Linked DNA regions of Canis lupus familiaris. The protein of the gene in region 1 purifies or fractionates together with the protein of each later gene. This does not show direct contact. Links are inferred from orthologs where the notes say so. Each region holds a gene or a part of one and is shown on either strand. Other genes may lie near its edges.

Region 1 (8,004 bases):
CTGCTTGCACCTTGCTCCGTGGAGCCCCAACGCCCCGCACTGCTTGCAGCCTACATCATTTCACTGCTATCTGAAGCCACAGAGGCATGGAGCTGCCTCTCCACCAGGTGTGTGATCCTTTCACCCCTGGGGCCGCCCCCTCAGCCCCTCTCCAGTCCTGCACATCAGCTGTTTTGTCTTCGTGGGATTCCTTTCCCACCCTGATCTCTCACCTCCTACCATAGTTCAAGACTCATTGCCACCTCCTCCAGGAAGCCCTCCTTCACAGCCCAGCCGTTGGTCATCTCTGGGATTCTGAGCCCCAGAACACTTGGACTCTGCACCATCTAGAGGTGCTGGTGAGTGAGGTATGCCTTCTGAATCGGTCCACCGGGCCAGGATACTGGCAGCATCTGTGCTTGGGAACCTGCTGCAGAGCCAGGCTGCGCGTGGTGCTTTATGTCATGGAACCCTCCCAGGAACACAGATGGGTACTGTCTCCATTTTATGGGAGAAGAAATAGGCCAAGGGATAGAAGATGTGAAACAATGTGTCCATGGGGAGCTGACCCTAAGTCACAGACAGCGGCGCGGGATTTGCGCTCACTGGCCTAGAGCGCGTACTCTTTCTGCTCCTGCACTGCCTCCAACTGATGAGTAACAAAACCCTAAGGGTGTCACAAGCAGCCTGCTGGCGGCCAACAGTGAACAATTCTGGCCCCTTCCACCACCCTCTCTCTCTGTTTCCTGATTTTGAAGCCACAGAGGAAGCCAGGCATAAATCTGGGCTTTCATCAGCTCTGGTGACCTCAGTTTGCAGGTGCTCCACCCCACACCCCGCGGTGTTCCCCTCTCGGGCAAGCAAAAGCCCTTCCCGGGTGGGGCCTGCCTCTGGCCTAGACCCCAGCCCTGGGCCCCGGCCCTGGCCCTGCACCTCAATCTACAGCAGAGCACATTCCTTTCAGGCTTCGCACTGTGCCTTCCCTGCTCAGGTTGCTCTGTTTTGGGGATAACGGGACAATGAGAATGTGTTTCTGCTGAGCAACTGAGCCTGCCAGCCAACCACCCATGCAGCGTTTTGACGGACCCACTGGGCTTGGTGCCGAGAACCCAAGAACATGCTGCCGTTCCTCCTTGTGCCAGGCTCATCCCCCAGCAGGATTTTCCACTGGTTCAGAAACCTTCCCGCACCTTGGGCAGCCTCTTCAAAGAAGGCAAAGCCCAGACTGGCCCTCTGAGGCCTGCACACAAGCCTGCACACATCCAGTAAACAGGGATGTGATGGGTTCAGGGAAGAGGGTGAGCACCTGGGCTCTGGGTTCTGGCAATGGGGTCTGAGCCCTGGCTCTGCCACTTGAACAGGTTTTAGCCCCGGGCAAGTCCCTCCACCTCTCTTGGCCTTGGTTTCTCAACTGTAGTATGGGGATGGTGTGACAAGTGTACCGACCACAGGGTGTTCTGGAGGTTCAGTGAGATGACCGTGGAGGTGGCTTTGGTAAGCACTCCACGGAAATCACCTGTTACCATAGTCACTGACAAACAAGGGGATACTAGTCCCTGAACCCAGAGGCAGGAGACGCAGGGTTGAGGCTGAACAAGTGAGTCACCACAGAGGTCTGGGCTCTCAGGGGACACTAGGACTCACATGGCCCGCCCCTGCCACCCCTGCCTGCCTCTGCTGCCCCTGCCCTCTCCCTGCACCCCTGCCAGAGTGAGACTGCGCCTTCCAGGGACTCTGGTCCCTTCTCAGTCCCAGGGCCAGTCAGCAGCAGCAGCAGCAGCAGTGAGATCAGGAAACACCTCTCTGGGGAGGAGCCAGCCCAGCTTGCCCACCCCTTGCTCTCCCTCCTCAGGACCCTGTTTCACCAACTCCTCCTGTCTGCCCGGCTTTCACCCCTTCCTCCCTGTTGACTCAACTCATGACACACCCCACAGCCTCTCAAACCCCACAGCCCTATCCACCACTCCCTGTCTCTTTTTAGACAGTCTTCTGAAAGAGATGATACTCGTCCCTTTGGGTCCCTCACTGTGGAGTCCACAGCATAGAGCAGTTTGACTCGTCACCACCTTCCCATGGTGGATCCATGAAAGTCTTGTGTCCAAATCTGGGGACATTGTGTTTCCCTTCCTGGACCCCAAGCACAGCAGTGTCCGGGAGGGTAGGACGGAGGCCGAGGGCAGCCATGAGCCGGGGGCTCTGTACACCGACAGGCTGGACAGAGTTCTGGCTCCTCCCTGGACACCTGTGTGAGCAAACATTTAGCTTCCGGGAACCTCCATTCCTCCACAGTGGAGTGGGAATGTAACAGCCTCCCCGCGTCCCCCTGACACTTGTACAGCTCACAGCATCTCCCCCTAAGCAGGGGTGGAAACCCTCCTGGTATTTCCAACTGTTGGATGACCTGCCTCCCGTCACCAGCCCTAAAGTCTAAGGAGGCAAAAACGAGACACACCATGCCTGGCACATAGTAAGTGTTCAGTAAGTGCTTATTTAGTAAATGAAAGAACAAGGGACAGAGTGTGCAAATTCACTCTAAGCTGTGAGGCGCTGTGCTCATGTCAGGTGAATACGCTCTCTCATCTGTCACCTTCACAACCACAACTTCCCTTAGGTGCACTACGACCTGCTGTCATTCATTCCGTTGTTCCACGGAGAATCACTGTTGTTCTGTTCACCGATGAGCCCAACACTGAAGACAGCACCTGGCATATAACAGACGCTCAGTACACACTGCTGGACGAGGTGGAACTGGCCTCTGGGGACACACTGGTGACTGATACATAGGGCCCAGCAGTTCAGGGAGAAGGACAGATAATACCTAACTATGTCTATAAGCTGCAAAAACACTTGAGGAAAGATAGCAGGGCTCTGTGAGGAATCGTAAAAGATAAAGAATAATAAATGAGGAAAATATTTAGCAACACCTCTCCTTTTAGATGAAGAAATGGAAGTAGAAAGGCTAAAAAGCGGAGGCAGGGCCACTCAGTAGGTTAGCAAGGAATGAACTCAAGTGCTGGGGACCCCGCCGAGGGCATTTCTACTGCGCCTGCTGCCTACAGGCTGGATGTAGGGGAACAGGTGGCCCAGGCGGTCCAGAGGCATGGACAAGGGGCAGCAATCCTACGCTCAGGTCAGGAATCGAGAGGCTGGGTTCCCAGGAAGCCTTGTCCAGGTTTGGTGGGGGAAGCCGGTGAAGTGTCAGGGGGAGCCAGCAGTGGTTCACAACAGGAAGAGGGAGTAAGGTGTCCAAGGCCTGTCCCGGCCCGGTGTGGGGGTGGACAGGGCAAGGGAGCTTGGAGGGGGCCCCCGAGGCTCCCCAGGGAGGATGGTGGCCCAGCGCAGTGAGGAGGAGCATCTGCCTCAGTGCTGCATCACCCCTGTCCTTGTTAATCATCAGGGCAAGTAAGCGGATGTCTGGCCGACTCCCAAGTGGAAAAATAAACCAGAAACTCTGATTGGGTCAATGTAACCACGACCGCAGGAGAGATCCTTCCTCACAAAAGGCCCAGAATGCGGATTTCCCTCCTCCCTGAGGCAGACGCAAGCCGAGTTGCAGCCTGACTTTTCCTGGTCAGACACTGCCTCCCCCTCCTTTCCCCGCGGACCCTCCTCCCTACCATGTCCCCCCCCCGGAGTCCAAGCAGCTTCCCCCGGGTCCCCCGCGTGGGGTGGAGGGCGGCTCCCCTGGCGGGCCTGCTATGGGCCCCGGCCCCGGCCCCGGAGGGCAGGGCGCGCCGGGCCGCCCCGGGAAGCGCGGGGGCAGGGAGGGGCCGGGCCTGCGCTGCGGACCGGCTAACGGGGAGGAGCGCGCTCTCGGGGCCCTCCGCGACCTGGGTGTGCTCCGCCCGCCAGGGGCCCGGCCCCGCACCCCGCGCCCCCACCCGGTTCCCAGCACCCCCACCCACGCCCGCCCCGTTCCCCGCGCCCCCTCACCCCCCCGCCCCCACCCCGTTCCCCGCAGCCCCCTCCCGGCTCGCCCGCCCGCCCCGCCCCCCGGGCCCCCCGCACCTCCCCCTACCGTGGGCCGCTTCCACTCGATGCCCTGGGTCTTGCTGGAGTAGGGCCCCAGCTCCTTGAAGCCCAGGGAGGAGGGGATGGCCGGGAAGGAGGGGTCCTGGAAGAGCGCCCCGGCCTCCAGGCACTCGTCCCGCAGCGCCTCGTAGTCCTGGTTGAGGTACTTGATGGCCCGTTCGTGCGAGCCCAGCCCCTCGGCTGCCTCTCGGTCCCTCACCAGCTTGGCCGCGATGCCGGCCATGGCTCGGGGGCGCTGCGGGGCGCGGCGAGCGGGGCCCGGGCGGCAGGGGCGCGGCCTGGTCGGGCGAGCGGCGGCGGGACTGCGGTCGGCGGCGCTGCAGGCGGTGCCCCCTCCCGGCGGGGGCGGGGCCTCGGGGGGGCGGGGCCTCCTGCTGGGGCGGGGCCTCCTGCTGGGGGCGGGGCCTGGGGCCTGGGGCCGCGGGGCGGGGAGGAGCGGCCAGGTCCCCTCGGCGGCCCCCGGGGCAGGGAGGTCCCTGACCTCGATCCGCCGCCACCACCTAGGCCCCAGCGCTGTGGCCACGGCTCCGCAGCCGGTCTCTCGTTTAAGGCCCGCGGCAACCCCAGCACAGGGGGCCCCGCGCTCCCGTGCCCCGCTGTGCCCTCCTGCAGCTGCCGGCCGCGGGCCTCGGAGAGCTGGGGGGACGCAGGGTTCCGGGCCTCGGGGCCTGCCCTCGTCACACGCTGCAGGTCACTGCCGGCTGGCAATCAAAAATACATCCTCGCCGTTCCATTTGAATTTCAGGGTAGCACCAATGTTTTCTCGGCGTTAAGTATGTCCCAGATTTTGCAGGGGTGGGTTGTGGGGCGCCTGGCCGGGTCAGTAGGTGCAGCGCGACCCGTGCTCTTGGCGTCAGGAGCCCCAGGTTGGAGGTGGAGATGACCAGAAAGGTCTTGCTGGTTACCTGAAACTCACCTTGGAGGGAGGCCTGAGTGACAGGGGCAGAGTGTTGGGGGGGAGCTTCCCCACTCCAGCACCCAGGCGGGGTCCCACCCACTGCTAGTGCACCCCCCCTTCAGGGGGAAACGGGGTGAATTTGCCCCCTGCACCTGGCCCGAGGGGACACTGGGCTTGTCTGGAAGACAATTTTCATTGTCAGGACTGTAGATGGGGGCCACTGCCCTCTCCTGGGTAGCAGGGATGCTCCTAAACTTCTTACTGCCTGAGACAGCTTCCACAGCAAGTGATCTGACCCAAAATATCAGCAATGCTGAGAATCCTGGATTAGAGCCCTTCTTCCCAGCTTGCTGGGTAGTAGCCTTTCACTGTTTGAGCTGCTGTGGATAGCCAGACAGTACACTGTAGAGACCCAAACTCATCCTGACCCGTGGAGGGGTTTCCCCAAGTGGGGGAGGTCAGTTGAGGCCATCTGCACATTCATTTAGATAGTCTTCATTTCAGGACGCCTGGGTGGCTCAGCAGTTGACCATCTGCCTTCAGCCCAGGGCGTGATCCTGGGGTCCCACAGACAAGTCCTGCGTCAGGCTCCCTGCATGGGGCCTGCTTCTCCCTCTGCCTGTGTCTCTGCCTCTCTCTGTGTCTCTCATGAATGAATAAGTAAATTCTTAAAAAAACATGTCTTCATTTCACATAAACTTGTGTTTCTAGGACTTTCCCTTTGAACCAGATGCAGCATCTGCTCAGTTGCCTTATTTAATTAATGAGTTAAATGAAATCTTTGACGTGTGTTCATTTTATAACTAGATGAGAGTCGGTCATAATTTGATTTTTTAAATTCTCTTTTAGCCTGAAGAGTAGGAAGAACAGATAGTTGATCTTGAAGCATAGTTTGAGATTTGAGCACTTAGAATTTGCCCACCAGTCAATGACCTGTCAGGAGACACTTGAACGTCTTTGGAATTAAAAAAAAAGAAAAGAAAAGAAAAAGAAAAAGATGTCCTGGGTGTTCTCTGCAGTGTTAAGTGAAGCCTGAGCAAACTTGCAGGTGTGAGGAGAGCTTGTGGTTGTGCACTTTGTAGTCTTCAAACTAGTTACCACTCTGTAGTTTTAGGAAATTGATAGTAATGCTAATAACTCTTGTCCATGTATATGCAAATAGACTTTCCCTGGTGCAAGGGGGACCCCACAGCCTCCCCACTCCTGCTTTACATCTATTCACAGACCTAAATTCTGCATTTCTAACCAGCTGCTCTTTTAAATTCTCCTTTTAACTAGATTTTTTAAAGATTTTATTTATTTATTCATGAGAGACAGAGAGAGAGAGAGGCAGAGACACAGGCAGAGGGAGAAGCAGGCTCCATGCAGGGAGCCCAATGTGGGACTCCATCCCGATCCCGGGTCCCCAGGATCACGCCCTGGGCTGAAGGCGGCGCTAAACTCCTGAGCCACCAGGGCTGCCCTAACTATTTTAAAATAAAAAATACCTACTGACTCCCTCCTTCATTAATGAGTTAAGTAAAATCTTGCACATATGTTCACCTTATATTTGAATGAGAGTCATTATTTTACTTTTTTAGGAAAGTAACTTTCGGTGTCTTTTTGTGCAGCAGATGCTAACTTCAAGTGTTTTGGGGGTTGCCATGGAGAATAGGATGTGTATTCATTCTGTGTTGCTCCGCAGAGGAAACAAGGGCCAGCAATGGGCTTCATGGGGTGCAGGTTTTAATTTAACAAAAAATGCTCACACTGGCCCGCATTGTGGCACTGAAAGTATAGCCCTGTTGGTGTGCTCCCGAGGTTGAGGCTTCCGATTTTGCTGAGCACCACCTGCAAGCATATTAAAAACACAGCTTCCAGGCCTGCACACCCAGGTGCCAATTCACTAAGAAGTCTCTGACGATCGAGGACCAACAGGGTTGGGGCTGTAAGGCCCAAGGGCAGGCCACCCTAAATTGTGCCCCTTCGGCATAGTGATTATTTTAAATAAAAGTCACTCGAGAAACAGCTAGTGCAAGGACCCTCAAATCCTCCTCTGTCCCCCTGAAAGCAGAAAATAAACCTCCCTTATGAAAAAAATCCTCTTAGAGGCACCAGGGTGGCTAAGTGAGTTGAGCATCAGACTCTCCGTTTTGGCTCAGGTTGTGATCTTGGGGTCATGATCTCAAGGTCGTGAGATGGAGCTCCACATTGGGCTGAGATTAACACAGAGTCTGCTGAAGATTCTTTCCCTCTCTCTCTGCCCCTGCGCACATGCTCTCTCTCACTCTCTCTAAAAATAAATACTTTTTAAAATAAAAAGGAAACGAAAAAAATCCTCCCGCTCTAAGTGACACCCTTATCTTCAGAGATAGAGACTCCAAAGCCCAGAAAGCTGCAAAAACAAAACTTGTTACTTTTTCACTCATCTCCTATCTCAGCCCTAATTCCACTTGGACTTCCTTACTCATTAAAGCTCCCAAGCATGTGTTTTCTGATTCTGTTGATTCCTCACAAATTTATCATCTCTTTGTCTAAAATGTGTAAAAACCACCTGGGTTTGTTGGTCATTTCTTTGGGTCCCAGTTTCATCCCTGAGCCTCTGTGAGCATGTAACACACCTCTAGGTCTTTCCCCCATGAAGCCCATGTGTGTACACTGAACTCTCAGTCCCGCAGGGGACCTGGAGGGTGGAGGGGCATTCCCACTCCCTGGGGTCCTACTGCCTGGGGGCCTGCCCAGCAGGGGGCTGCTGACCTCCCAGGCCTTGACAGGCCAGTGGTGGTGTCGCTGGCAGGAGGTGGGACTCAGGCTGGAGGTGTTACTCCAGTGTCGTCAGGGGGCCAGTTTCTTCTTAGCATGAAAGTCAGCATTGCCTTGTTCTCAGGGGCACTTTCATAGGTTTTGAAAGGAACGATTTCTCCGCCCCCTCAGAATTCTGTGGGGACTGCCTGGTATTTCCTCCCACTCCCTAAACTTCCCCAGAGAGGAGGAAGCAGCCCAGGTATTTATTCAGATTCAAGAACTGAGCCCCTGGGGCGCCTGGCTGGCTCAGTTGGGGGAATGGGAGCGGGAGACATTTGGTCTCAGGGTCCTGAGTTCAAGCTCCATGTTAG
Region 2 (6,343 bases), on another chromosome or scaffold:
CAGGATGGCGGAGGAGTAGGGTCCTCACCTCACCTGGTCCCACCAACTTACCTAGATAACTTTCAAACCATCCTGAAAACCTACGAATTCGACCTGAGATTTAGAGAGAACAGCTGGAACGCTACAGAGAGAAGGGTTTGCGCTTCTAACAAGGTAGGAAGGAGGAAAAAAATAATCCAGTGGGGGAAGCCGCCCCCCTCCCCTCCTCCTCCGCGAGGAGCCGGGCTAAGGCCCAAGGCGAGAGCCTCCTGGACGAGAAAGTCCAGCCTCGGAGAAGCGGGAACTTGAAAAACCCGCGCTGGATCCTTCCGGACGGAAAGGCGCCTCGCGGGGAGCTGGGGCAGAAGCGCAGGAGGGGCAGTGGAGCCTCCGGCCTCCCGGGCCCGGGAGGGAAGTGCGCCCGGGGGAGAGCGCGCCGCACCCCGCGGCCGAGCTGGGCCAAGGGCTGGAGCGCGCCGGTCGGGCCTCGGGGAGCAGCTCGGCGGCGGCTCCCGACGGAGGGGGCTGCCCCTGCTGCTTTCCGCAGCCCCGGCCCGGAGCGGGAGCGCGATTGCAGCAGCGCAGGCCCCGGAGCCCAGGGCGCTGGCGGACAGAGCCGGGGTCCTGCGCTCCCCCTGGGACAGACGAGGCGGGGACGGCCCAGGACCGCGAGGACGCTCCAGCAGCTGGGGCGGCCCCAAGCTGCGCAGGTCGGCGCCCCCGCCCCGGAGCATCCCGGCCAGTGCGGCCCCGGAGACCGCGGTAGTTACTGCGAGGGCTGCTCCGAGCTGCTCCGGGGCTGGGGAGCCGGCCGCCGCCAGTGGGGCTGCTTCTCCTGGGGTCACCGCGTGCCTGGGACCGAGCGGGCCGCCAGGAACAGGGCCTCACGGGGTCAAGGGCTCCCACTGGGCCGCGCACCTGGTAGGGGCGGGGCACCTCCCCCAGGTGCACACACCTGAGAATCAGCACAGCAGCCCCTCCCCCCGAAGACCAGCTGGGAGGACGGGGGAAGAGCAACTTCTTGACCCGGCAGCACTGGAGAGCTCCAGGGGAAGTCGAGGATTTACAGCCTATAGAACCAGAGGGTACCCCTCCTATTTTTTTTCTTCCATTTTCCAGTACAACTCGGTTTTATATCAGACTGTAAATTTCCAATTTTTTTCTTTTCCCACCTTAACTACAATATTTTACCACCTCTTCATTTTTAAGATTCTTCCTTTTTGACTTTCATATTCCTACAAGTCTTAGATATACTTTCCATTTCTAGATTCCCTTCAACATACTCCATTTTGGGAGATATACAAGATATGTTTTTTTGTGTTTTGTTTTCTCTGCCTCATTTTGTTCTACAATGGCATAAGTTAATACCTTCTAAAACATGGCCAGTATACACCCAGAACCAAGTGGTATACCGTGCTGGTTTTCTGTGAGATTCCTCATTCCTATTCTGCCCCCCTCTTTTACCTCCTTTGTTTTGGTGGTCAATGTTGGGGCTCTCTACAAGTATTTCTGGTTTATATAAATTTGGGACTGAGCATCTTCTAACATACAGAACTTAATATACTCAGAACCAAGAGGATCACCCTCTAGGACCCCTCAGGTAGACTACATTCTCCCTCCACTACAACTTTGTCATCAACATCATCTCCCAGTCCTCCCTTTTTTTTTTTTCTTCTCCTTTGGGATTCTTTTATTTTTTACTACTTTGTTTTAAAATATATTTTTCACTTTAGTGGTCCTTTTATTTTGTTCTGATCTGTTTTCAATTTCTGGTCTCTGACCTCGTCAGAATCATCTAGGTTGAAATTTACTTAGGTCATGGTTGATATTCTTGATTCAGTCTGCTCACACAGCTGCTCTGCACTGAGCAAAATGACTAGAAAGAAGAACTCACCACAAAAGAAGAATCAGAAACAGTACTCTGCCACAGAGTTACAAAATTTAGATTACAATTCGATGTCAGAAAGTCAATTCAGAAGCACAATTATAAAACTACTGGTGGCTCTGGCAAAAAGCATAAAGAATCGAGAGACTTCATGACTGCAGAATTTAGATCTAATCAGGCCAAAATTAAAAAATCAATTAAATGAGATGCAATCCAAACTGGAGGTCCTAACGATGAGGGTCATTGAAGTAGAAGAAAGAGTGAGCAAATAGAAGACAAGTTGATGGCAAAGAGGAAGCTGAGGAAAAAAAGAAGAAAACCAATTAAAAGACCACGAGGAAAGGTTAAAGGAAATAAATGATAGTCTCATAAGGAAAAATCTATGTAAAATTGGGGTTCCAGAGAGCGCTGAGAGGGACAGAAGGCCAGAAAACATATTTGATCAAATAAATAAAAAATCTTAAAAAAAAACACATATATTTTGTTCCTAAATTATGGTATTTTAATATATAATATATATTTAATATATATTTTTAGAAATAAGATGAGCTTTAGCTTATCTGGTACAAATTCTTTTATTTACAGGAAATAACACACAAACTCTAAAAGTGCAAAATTGCAAAAACTATAGGGCAATTTAACAGTTCAATTAATCTGTGAGCAGAGATGTAACATTAATTTTTAAATATCTTCTAAGTTAGAAAATCCTTGTTTCTGAAATAAGTTTTCATACAAAGTCAAGTCCTCAGGACTTAAGGATGGTTTCACAGTCTTAAGTGATTTTAGAAAGTGCTCTTGTTTCACTGTGGTTGCTTCTAATCCATTTTCTTGCAGAGCCAGCAAGGCAGCCTATAAGACACAAACAGGAGGAAATAATGAATGTGCTTCACTTTTTTTTTTTTTTTTTTTGAACAATTTGTGGTAATACTTTAAAATCCGGGGTAAAAACCTCAGTCCCACTTCTTAGAATTCCAATATTCATGACACTGAAAACACTAAAAAGTTAAATAAAGCGATTAAAAGTTATCTTAATAGACCATCATCTCTTCTTAAATGGGAAAAAAGAAAAAGCAAGTTGCAGCATAATGCGTACACTATGAGTCCATATACATATTTAAAGATGAGAGACTATCTTTCTGACCTCAGAATAGGAGTTTTTAAACAGAACAGAGCACTGATCCTAAAGGAAAAGATCAAAAACACCTACTCTGTGACCCAGCAATTCTCTTGGTAGGTATATACATATATAAAATAGACTTATCTATACATGTACTAACAGACATAACAAGATTATTCACAGCAGCATAATTTGTAACAAAAAATAGTAACCCGAATGTTCAAAAAAATGAATAAATGCAGTATATTCATAACCTAGAATATTACAAAGTGATAGAAATGCACAAACTACCGCTATAGGCAAAACCACAGATGAAGTTCAAAACATAATCCTGAGTTAAAGCAGATATAAAAATATACTGTACAGTCCTATTTATATAAAGTTCCAAAGCAAGCAAAACTAATCTCCAGTGTTGGAAGTCAGGAGAGTGGTTCCCTTTTGGGAGGGAGATTGGGAAAGCCCCAAGAGAAGCTTCTGGGGTGTTGATAATAATCCCTTTCCTGATAGTTATAAAAGTGTTCATTTTATGTTAATTCAATGAACTATATCCTTATGATCTGTGCATTTTTCTGAATAGTACATTTTTTTAAAGATTTTATTTGAGAGAGAGAGAACACAGGGGCAGAGAGAGAGGGAGAAGCAGGCTCCCCCTTGATCCCCTGAGACCTGAGCCAAAGGCAGACACTTAACCGACTGAGCCAACCAGGCACCCCTATCTGAAGAGTACCTATAATAAAATATAATATATAATAAAAGTTTGTGGAAAGGGAAACACCTAGCTTCTTTTGCTCTCAAAGTCTAAATCCCTTAAAGTGGCTTATAAAGACCTGTGTGATCTGGCCATTATCCAGCTCTTCAATGTCATGTTCTCTCTTACTTCAGTCGCCCGCGGTCTGGGTCAGTGTCCTTCACAAGTGCTCCCATAATACCCTAAACTTCCTGATTCACTACACATTATCAATTGTCAATTCAGTATTACAATTTCCCTCTTTGCAACCTGCCATGAACCTATAAGCTCGAGTAGGGTAGGGTATGGTAGGAAAGGGTAGGGAAGGGTAGGGAAGGATAGGGAAGGGTAGAGAAGATCTGAATAAATGAAGAAATGTTGTCAACCATATGTTCCTTCGCTAATTAACTTACTTCTTTGCAAAGATTTCCAAGATCAGCACCAGAGAAAAAACAGGTTTCTGCTGCTATGTTTTCTAAGGAAACATCAGGCCCCATTGGCATATTTTTTGTACAGACTTTCAAAATAGAAAGCCTGCCCTGAAAAAAAAAAATTAAAATGTTTATAATCTTATTATAACATTTATGTTTGACACAAAGCTGTATTAAAACATTTTAATATGTTTCCTGTCATACTACAGCTGTGTATATATTTATTTAAATAAATAATAATAACTTCTGAAGAGGTAAGAAGAGTAACTCATCAATGGTTCATATGATAATGGTAAAAATAATGACATGATAAACTTTTAATACTTTTATAATAATTTTTAAAATAGCCAACTATAGGTACATTTAAGAGACACATGAGTCCTCATTTTGGGTATAAATAGTGTTATCAGACATGGTTATAGTGTTATCAGACATGGTTTAAGAAGCAAAAACATGAATTATCTGGATACAACTTAAAAATAGACATTTAATTTTTTTTTTTCATTTAGGAAGGATGGAAAAAATTTGTTGACTTTAACCATTCCTTGCTTGTAGCTGTGGATGTTAAAAGGGCAAAGATTTACTGATTCTCTGACTATGGAAACTGTGTAATCTCTCTAATTTCAGACTTTCCTACTATAAAATAAGAATACTGATAAAAATAATCTCCAACTGTTTTTAATACTTTAAGATTCCTCCATTCTAGTTGTAAAATAATGTTTGAGTAGATGTAACAAGCTCAGTATTTTGAGTCTGCCTCAGCAATGAAAAATATAATTATTTTTAGGCTTATGTTTCTCTGAAAATAGGCCTAGAGTATCCAGCAAAAGCAGATCAAAATTATGTGTTTATGAAGGGCTACCAGGCAAAGAAGAATGAGAACCCAGTGTAAGTCATATACCATGTACGTATATATCCAGTTTGGGATTCAATTCTGCTAGGCTCCTTAGAGCTCAGACATTGATGTGTTAAGAATCCTCACATACACTAAACATGTGCAATGATTACCTTTTCATCTGGAGGTGGAATATAAATAATCTTATCTAATCTTCCAGGTCGTAACAAGGCATCATCTAATACATCAGGTCTATTTGTTGCAGCAACAATCATGACATTTCTGTTAAAAACTTCTTGAAACTCTGAGAGAAAACACACAACATAATTTCAGTAAGCTGTCAATTATTAAATTTTTAAGAAATTATAAACCAGAATGTTCAGTTATTTTTAAATGAGTATATCCTTTTCTTAGGACCAGAATGCTTATACCTCCTATCTTTTTTTTTTTTTTTTCTTTAAGACCATCTTTTAAGATTTTATTTATTTATTCAGGAGACTGAGGGAAAAAAGAGGCAGAGACACAGGCAGAGGGAGAAGCAGGCTCCATGCAGGGAGCCTGACGTGGGACTTGATCCCAGGTATTCAGGATCAGGCCCTGGGCTGAAGGCAGGTGCTAAACCGCTGAGCCACCCGGGCTGCCCCTAGACCATCTTTTTGATATCAAGGTATGCTAAAACAAATTATTAGTCAAAGAACTACTTTGTGTGGTGAAGGGACTAGCTAATCCTGAGGGACATCTCTCCATGTAAGAACCAAAGGAAAGCCTTATACCACAGCAGAGAATACCTATTGAACACACCTGAGCCCCAGTGAATGATTATAACCTAAGTGGATGACATGAAAGAACAAAGCATGTGACTTTGGAGATGGAGATGTATGGCTATGAACCACACTGGCTCTAATATCTTGGATGAGAGAGATTTACTTTTTATTTATTTTTCTTTCTAGAGGCAGAAATATACAACATAAGCTGCAGATGTGTAAATCCTAGATGAAGATAAGAAATACAGAAAAGCAGCCAGGGCAAGGCCTTTTACATGCTTGCTAAGCATTCAAAATGGTCTATTGAACTCTCAACAAACAGAAGTTCAGGATGGCTTCTAGGTGAATTCTACCAAACATTTAAAGAAGAGTTAATACCTATTCTCAAACTATTCAAAAAAATAGAAGTGGAAGGAAAACTTCCAAATTCATTCTATGAGGCCAGCACTACTTTATATCAAAACCAGATAAAGACATGGTGAAAAAAGAGAACAGCCAATATCTCTGATGAATATAGATGTAAAAAAATATATATATATAGATGCCAAAAATACTCAACAAAGTACTAGCAAATCAAATGCAACAATACAATAAAATAATCATTC

The links. The genes of interacting proteins can lie anywhere in the genome.
Region 2: the proteins of CAPN2 (region 1) and SPATA5L1 purify together in Homo sapiens (co-immunoprecipitation; 3 studies listed by BioGRID and IntAct, with this or other methods). This does not show direct contact. The link is inferred for Canis lupus familiaris from reciprocal best matches to the Homo sapiens genes CAPN2 and AFG2B.

The regions. Positions count from the first base shown.
Region 1 is NC_049228.1:40,319,232-40,327,235, forward strand, and holds the start of CAPN2 (calpain-2 catalytic subunit), read right to left. Parts: upstream 4,312-8,004; 5' UTR 4,235-4,311; coding exon 3,998-4,234; intron 1-3,997. UniProt on the Homo sapiens protein: Calcium-regulated non-lysosomal thiol-protease which catalyzes limited proteolysis of substrates involved in cytoskeletal remodeling and signal transduction. Proteolytically cleaves MYOC at 'Arg-226'.
Region 2 is NC_049251.1:12,069,567-12,075,909, reverse strand, and holds the end of SPATA5L1 (spermatogenesis-associated protein 5-like protein 1), read right to left. Parts: intron 5,279-6,343; coding exon 5,148-5,278; intron 4,248-5,147; coding exon 4,122-4,247; intron 2,714-4,121; coding exon 2,546-2,713; 3' UTR 2,421-2,545; downstream 1-2,420. UniProt on the Homo sapiens protein: ATP-dependent chaperone part of the 55LCC heterohexameric ATPase complex which is chromatin-associated and promotes replisome proteostasis to maintain replication fork progression and genome stability.